Coturnix japonica: one gene and its partner. The protein of the gene in region 2 binds, or shares a complex with, the protein of the main gene of each other region. Links are inferred from orthologs where the notes say so. Each region holds a gene or a part of one and is shown on either strand. Other genes may lie near its edges.

The links. The genes of interacting proteins can lie anywhere in the genome.
Region 1: CPSF3 (region 2) and CPSF4 share a complex: the UniProt entries of both Homo sapiens proteins name them as parts of the cleavage and polyadenylation specificity factor (CPSF) complex. The link is inferred for Coturnix japonica from reciprocal best matches to the Homo sapiens genes CPSF3 and CPSF4.

The regions. Positions count from the first base shown.
Region 1 is NC_029529.1:4,430,397-4,434,604, reverse strand, and holds the start of CPSF4 (cleavage and polyadenylation specificity factor subunit 4), read right to left. Parts: upstream 2,806-4,208; 5' UTR 2,695-2,805; coding exon 2,592-2,694; intron 1,280-2,591; coding exon 1,229-1,279; intron 840-1,228; coding exon 687-839; intron 1-686. Other genes in the region: pentatricopeptide repeat-containing protein 1, mitochondrial, read left to right, coding at 2,806-3,392, 4,143-4,208. UniProt on the Homo sapiens protein: Component of the cleavage and polyadenylation specificity factor (CPSF) complex that play a key role in pre-mRNA 3'-end formation, recognizing the AAUAAA signal sequence and interacting with poly(A) polymerase and other factors to bring about cleavage and poly(A) addition.
Region 2 is NC_029518.1:87,816,015-87,819,524, reverse strand, and holds the end of CPSF3 (cleavage and polyadenylation specificity factor subunit 3), read right to left. Parts: coding exon 3,441-3,510; intron 2,841-3,440; coding exon 2,732-2,840; intron 2,384-2,731; coding exon 2,285-2,383; intron 1,741-2,284; coding exon 1,646-1,740; intron 1,316-1,645; coding exon 1,228-1,315; intron 860-1,227; coding exon 790-859; intron 524-789; coding exon 427-523; intron 350-426; coding exon 245-349; 3' UTR 146-244; downstream 1-145. UniProt on the Homo sapiens protein: Component of the cleavage and polyadenylation specificity factor (CPSF) complex that plays a key role in pre-mRNA 3'-end formation, recognizing the AAUAAA signal sequence and interacting with poly(A) polymerase and other factors to bring about cleavage and poly(A) addition.

The sequences.
Region 1 (4,208 bases), on a different chromosome or scaffold from region 2:
TCATAAGTTCAGGCACAACGGTCTTATTGCCTGACTTAACCTAGAGGATGAACACCAAGCACTCACCCCTAGTGAGTGAACTTCTACCAGACTGGATTATTTATGTGTGCTTTTAAAAACAATGCAGAAACTGATTTTTGGAAGAGAGTCATGATAACAAAAACCAAACATTTAGTGCACCAAAAGTGTGGAGAAACTACAAATTGCACACTAACCTCAATCCAAGGAAACCTACAAGACTGTAAGTTTCTGACAGCAAGTTGCCTCATTATGTCCAGATCTCCAGAGCTGGAAAGCAAGTGCATAAAAGTTTTGCACCCCCATGCCCTCTGCTGCTCATCAACTCCCCAAAACAAGAGTCATGCAAAGACCAACTGCTCAGCCTACTCAACTCATACTAAAAAAGAGAACATAAAGCACAAAACCCAGTAACAATGTGAACTTCCTCCCTCTTCCCCAACATGACAAGCTCTTGAGAGAGGAAACATCTACAACACATGGCGAATTTAGGGGAATAAAAAGATAAAAGAGCTAAGCAGACCTGAAAAACTACAATGGAACAGTGTCAGCAGACATGGAAGAACTGAAATATTCTGAGGATGGAATAAGAAGGATGTACCAGGATCTTCTTCACCAGACTCCCACGCTTGCAAGGAACACTACGTAGGAGCTACAATGTTTCTTACCGAATTTGGAGTAGAAGTAACACTCAGGCATCTTGGTCATGTCATACTCGTGCAGAAACTCACACTGGTCTCCCTTTTTGCATAGTCCTCGTAGCCAGTGTTTGCAAACGACAGTCTTTTCCCCACTGATGTGTCTGAATGGGCACATACCTCCTGCACAAGGATGAGGCAAGGGAAATGAAAAAGAGGAACAATTAAACTCTGCAGTACAAGCAGGAACACAGCAACAGCAGCGCTTCACTCGCCTCTACAAGAGAGGTTTCAGAAGAACTCAGTTTTTCCTTATGACTTCAGTTCTTAATGGTAACGATAAACAAGGACATCCAGACAAGTCCTGTTTTACCCTCTAATGAGCTGAGCACTGTAGTCTCCATGTCTAAATCCCAGCAGCCGCAACCCATAGACACTAAAACAGCCACATCCACAGCAAACCCCACACAATTTGTGGAGTTAACAAAAGCCATGATTAACATAGAACGTGCCAGCAAATCTATTTCTCCTCCCTGCAATACGAGTGTAAGTGTACTGGAAATACAACTTGCCTTTCCCGCATGCTGCTTTTAAAAAGAATTCACAGACAGCTGCACCTGATTCTGTGGAAAGAAGAAACAAAATAAACGTTAACAAACTTTAGTAGGAGCTTCCAAAGTATTTTCTGCCTGAAGAAACGACTGAGTCCTCAAATTCAAAAGAGAAACAGCATTTTGGTTTGAGGAATTTACATCCCTGCATGAATTCTTTGTTCAGTTCTGGCCTTCACAAATGTCTGTATTCTCCTCAATGAATACACAGCAGGGAAATTTGCAGTTCTGTTTATAGCCTTTCAGACTTCAGGTTGGGCAATGACTATTAAACCACTTGCTGTAGTGAAACATGTTTATAGCCCTGGCTCTCAAAGTCTTTTCTGCAGATCAGCCTGACCCAGTTGTTGCTGCGTTATCCCTCACTGACCTACAGGAATCACAGCACTCAAGGGAGCAATGTGAGGTCAGCAGCACTGACACAGAACGTCAGCAAACTGTTGAGTCTCCCAGGACTACTTGCATCAGTGGACAGGTTGAAGACCCCTATGATGACCAAGTCCAACCAGCCCATTCTCACCACATTGACCATGTCCTTCTGGAGTTGTAGGGAATGATGTGGCCTCCCCTGACTCCCCCATCTCCAGACTAATGCAGGAAAGTGCTCAGATCCCAGACTGTGAACACACCTACACCTTCCCTGCCACCAAAACACCTCACCTATCAAAAGGGCAATCAAACAACAGCGTGGGACAGCAGTGTTTATTCACATGAACGCCTCAACTTTCCTTCCATCCCAGCACGGCACAAACTACGGCTACAGACACACAGCACCCGGCCCAAGGCAGCACCTCAGGGCAGCAGGAGCTGAGGGGACACGAGGAGCCCAGCACAGGGCACGGAACAGCCCCATCCCCACCACCACAGAATCACAGAATGACCCGGGTTGGAAGGGACCTCAAGGATCATGTAGTTCCAACCCCCCTGCCTGGCAGGGCCACCAAACATACACCTTTACTACATCAGGTTGCCCAGGGCCCCGTCCAACCTGGCCTTGAACACCTCCAAGGACGGGGCATCCACAACCTCCCTGGGCAGCCTGTTCCAGGGCCTAACCACTCTCCTAGTGAAGAACTTCCCCGTAACATCCAACCTAAATCTTCCCTCTTTTAACTTAAAACCATTTCCCCGTGTCCTGCTATTGTCAGCCCTTTCCAAGAGTTTACTCCCCTCCTGGCACTAAGTTCCCTTCAGGTACTGAAGGGCTGCACTGAGGTCACCCCACAACCTTCTCTCTAGGCTGATCCCTTCTCTAGGCTCCATCCTTGTCCCACCACCCCGGCTCAGGGATAGAGGTTATGCCGCGCCCGGCGCCCACACGCACTGTCCATGCCGGGAAAGGGCAGCGGCTGCGCCCCCAGCTGCTGCTCCACCGCCAGCTCCAGGTCGAACTTGATGTGGTCCACGCTGGCGATGAGCTCCTGCATGGTTGCAGCCGGGGGGCGACGGCACCGGGTGGGAAGGGGTGGAATGGTTGGGGCCGGCTGTGGCCAGGCCCGGCCCGGCCTGGCCCGACCCAGCCTGCTTCTCTTCGGCAGCGCCTCAACACTCAATGGGGCCGCGCGCGACCCGCGCCGCGCCGCCCGCCCGTCCCGGAGGATGCCGGGAAAACACCTCCGGCTCCGGCCGCCGCTTTGAACACGCCTCTTCCTGCCGCGCATGCGCCGTGGCGCTACGGTGGCCGCGAGGGGGCGGGGCGGTGTGTGCGCCGCGCTTCGCGATGCGGCCTGCACGGCTCCTCCTCAGCCTCCAGCCCGTCCCTTGGCGGTGCTGCCGGGCCGCTGCTCCGCTTCCCTCCGCCTTGTTCCGGTACCTCAGGCCCAGCTTCCCTTCACTGCGTGGCCTGAGGGCGCTGAGCTCGTCGCAGCCGCCCCCTGAGGTGCGCGGTGCTGAAGGCGAAGCTGGTGATGATGATGATGATGATGATGATGAAGGTGTGGAGTTCGGGACGCTGTCTGCTAAGTTCTCCCATAGGAAATATTACCACAAAACCACGGCGGTGTTTCGGAACTTGAAGCTTGAAGAGGATGGGGAGGAAGAAGGGGAGAGGAGGCTGTGGTACGGCCGCAGGAACACGCCGTACTGGTATTTCCTAAGGTGCAAGGCCCTCATCAAGGAGGACAAGGTGGGATTTGGGGGTTATAGTAACGTTTGGTGCTTGTGAACGAGCACTTTGCTGTTAGGATTAGAATGGTTCGCTTGGGAGGGGCTTGAAGTGATCATCAGGTCCCTTTGGCCTTTAACTGAGGTTAAAGTTGCCTTTAAAGTTGCTACTCCTGCCTCCTGTTATAGCTGTCTGTCTGCACTCAGCACTTTTGAAGCCATGCCTCAAGTACTTGTTGTTCAGTTTTGGACCATTCGCTACTAAAAAGATGTGGAGGCCCAGGAGTGTGTCCAGAGAATGGCAATAAAACCATGAGCATAAGTCTTATGGGAAGCAGTTCAAGGTCTGAGGAGACCTCATTGCTTCCTGCTCTCTGAAAAGAAGTTGTGGTGTGGTGGGAGTTGGCCTCTGATCCAGGTAGCAGTGATAGGATGTGAGGTGATGGCCTCAAGTTGTGCCGGGGAGGTTCAGGTTGGATACTAGGAAACATACTTGGAACGAGTGGTAATGTGTTGGAACAGACTGCCCAGGAAGGTGGTGGAGTCGCCATCCTTGGAGGTGTTTGAGAACTGTGGAAATGTGGCACTGAAGGACTGACAGATCAGACTTGATGATCTTAGAGGTCTTTTCCAACTCATTATCATCATTATTAAAAGAAGGAAAACAAGAATTTATGAGGAATTCTGTGCTCTGTAGGATTTCTGACTACAGCTAAGGCTATTCATTGTAACTGAATTGTTGCTTCATAAAACATTTTCCTTTTCTCTGTAGCTGGCAGAGGCCCTGGAGCTGTTTGAGGTGCAGATGCTGAAGGAAGAGCGAGTAAAGCCAGAAGAA
Region 2 (3,510 bases):
GACAGGGAAGGCTACAGCCTTAAAGGGCTCCGGAAGGAGATGTGAGGGAACCGCACTTTATTATGATCCACAAGCACTAATGCAGATGACACGGGTAACACTGCACACCCATTCTTTGAGCTTAGTTTCCCACTCATATAACGCATTTGAGTTGCTGATGAAAACGTTTATTCACTTTATAAAAAACAAAAAGTCCAAGTTTGAACGTTACAAGCTTTTTGTATGTGTCCTACGTATCTACAGGTCAGCAGTACACGGGGCTGAGGGCGTCGTACAGCCTCTGTGCAGCCAGTTCCACCATCTCTCGCAGGGATTCATCGTCCTCACTGCCTGGCTCGCAGTCAGCCGTCTGAGAGCACAAAATAAGCATGTGAGAACAAGCACAGCACACACAGGTAAATAACTCCCAGTGCTTCATGTACGTACCCGAGTTTCCAGTGAGAGGTTTGCAGTTTTGCCATCTACGGTGACACACAGAATGGAGCCTTCCTTGGAACTCACACAGTCCTCTCCAAACATATCCCTGGAACAAAGGTTGGCTCACATCAGGTAACTGCCAAACAGCAAACACATTTCCTCTCCATTAACCTTAGGCTTCCAAAGGCCCTGGATTTGAAGTCTCAATGACACCGAGAGCTTTTTCAGGGTACCTCAATCTTTACTTAACTCCAGGCCTACACAGAAGCGTCAATACATTAACTCTACCTTTAAGTGGTACTGTAATAAAACTACTCTATATACACAAATAATGGTGATCGCTTTCATTTAGAAAAAGATCCACTGACTTACTGAAGCATCATTTCCACTCTCTTGCGATACTCTTCCGTGTCTACTTTTGTGGAAACTTTCTGCACTGCAGCTGGAAAGAAAAAGTCATTTTACTTTCATCTACTTCAAAGTGGGAGAAATCCCCGCGACTCGTTTCTAATCCCTCTGTTTTCTTTAGCTGTAGTGAAGTACATCACACAGTGTGGGAGAGGACAGAGAACAGCATAAAACTGAACACCAAACGCCAACTAGAAACTGATAGATAAGACATGTGCACATGCTGCAAATAATGCAAAGCTGTACATGTAATTCTGTGTTTAAGGAACATAAAACTCTTGAGAAGTTCCCTGAGGTGAAGCACAGCAGCAGGAAATCCATTTTAAGGCGTTCTAAAACTCCTGAAGCCTGATGTCCAAAATTCAGCAGTAAACCTCCATTGAAGAAGCATGTGCTACCTACCTTTCTGTATCTTGGGATTCGACTGAACTTCCAGTATCACTGTGGTCACGGTGTCTGCATACATGTCATTGGCAGGATTGGCCACCCACTGGAAGATGGACAAAACAGAAATCAAATCCCAGATTTCAGCCTGTTGTTGGGGCTGAATAAATAACACAACATAAAACAGCACTCATGGCCCTCTTGGAGTGTCACTGTACTCACTGTAGCCACTGAGTCACTGCAAGAGAAGAAACTGGCTGAGTGAAATAACATGCATCAACACAGCAGCATGGCCAAAGGCAACTTCTCCTCTTCACTCTGCTCATGATCCATCAGAAAGCTACTTAAAACAGTTCACTGTGCTCAGCATCTACATGATACTATTCTACAGGATCTGGAGAATGAAAATAGTTGTTTCCCCCCACCCAGTGCCTACCTCGAGGACTACCATGCCTGGTTCCTGGATTACAGTAATACTTTTGAAGACCTTCAGGGCTGGTTTCTGTTGGATTTCTATTTCCTCTACATCACCTAAGAAGCAGCGACAAATGGTTAGTGAGAATAAAATGACACTGAGAACAGGACTAACTGTATCTGCGTGGCTTTCTGAGTGTGCAGTATTGGCCATTGCACTTGCTTTGGATTCTCATAGCTCGTGGGGAGGAACAGAACATGTCGTCTGACACAAGGAAAGAATTCTTTTGTCTTAGTTTTATTAAATAGATGCCATTAAGCGTTCTGCTTTGGGGCTGGAGATAAAGGCTGATCACTTGCTAAATTTTCCATCGGGGTGGCTGAGCTGCTCACTTTGGGGCTGACAGGAGACAAAAAGCAGCTGAGGTTCAACATTGCTGTATGCTCATGGATTTGTATTACAGTTATATTAGGATGCCCACACAGGGTTTGTCACACTCGTGAGATGGATGTGGCAGAAGCTGCACTACATAACGAGAGCTGTAAGACACAAACCAAACTGTGGCACTGCAGAGCAAAGAAGTTCCCACTCAGAAGGTCCCTCCAAAGACTGTAAGTTGATTTAAGAACAAATCACAAACATTTCTTTCTGAATACACACCCGTAAGCTTCTGCAGCTGATAAAAGAGCAGATTGAAAGGGCCGGTATATGGAATGGCCAGTGTCTGTGTCACAGTGCTCATAGCCAAGTCCGTATAATCTGAAAGAATTGTTAAAAGAATGTCTTAACAACAGTTTACTTTAAAAGCTTTAAGTTTGCTTTCTAAAACAATCAGGTTGTCAGCACAGAGAAACAACGGCACCAAAACAATGAAGGCAGAGGGTGCAAAAGGACCGATTGTGAAGAATGGAAATCCTTGATTCTCACACCAACAGCCCAGAAATGTAGGCAAAACTACGCCAAACTGACACCAATGGACACGCGTCCAATGATTTCCTCCAACACAAAGTAACAAACAAGCATCCAAAAGCCAACACTGCACATAATGACAGAGAAGGACACAGAGAGTTTCAATGATCCACTAAGTAAGTTACCGCCTTCACTTACTGGAGAGGTCACACGGAGAAAGGATGTGATAGTTAAAATTCCTTTTGACCAGGATTCCAGAAATTCTCTGTCCTTGCTCCGGCTTCTTATCTGCTAAAGAGCCCATCACCTGAAAAGGAGGAGAACACAGCTAATGTAACATTATTTTTAAGCTGTTTTTTGAAATCATTTTACTAGATGCACCGCATTCATGCCTACAGACCTCCCTCTGCTAGAGCACCCTGTTTACAAGCTGTCTCACTGATTGAAGTATCTAAAGACAGCAGCTCTAAACGCCTGATTACAGTCAAGCATGTAATTATTTAATTCAGCCAAAGTAATTATTCTCCTCTAGTATATACGGATGGATTGCGTGTTTGACAGCATCTTCCTGAAATGTAAATGAAGCCTATCATATTATTTATGCACAAAGCGCAGTGCTCCAACATGACTGGAATTGATATTCTTTGTTAGGAGAAAATTGATGAGCGCTGTTCAGATCACACAGCAAACAGACTGGGATGACTGGACTGAAAACACCAGCAGGTTATGGGTAGCAGAATAGATCTACGTTAGCTAAACAAAAACATTCATATATGTTGTGACCTTGTAAAACACATGCAATCCAAACCCAATTTACCTTAGAGGCTTGGAAGAGAACATACAACTTAGTTTCATAGGATTAAAAACAAGTGTCATTGTATGGAGATGAAAATACTTGATTTCATACCTTGGCAAGCTTTTCTCCTCTGAAGTTTAACGTCACAGCTTCAGTATTCCTCGGATTATGAACTTCTATA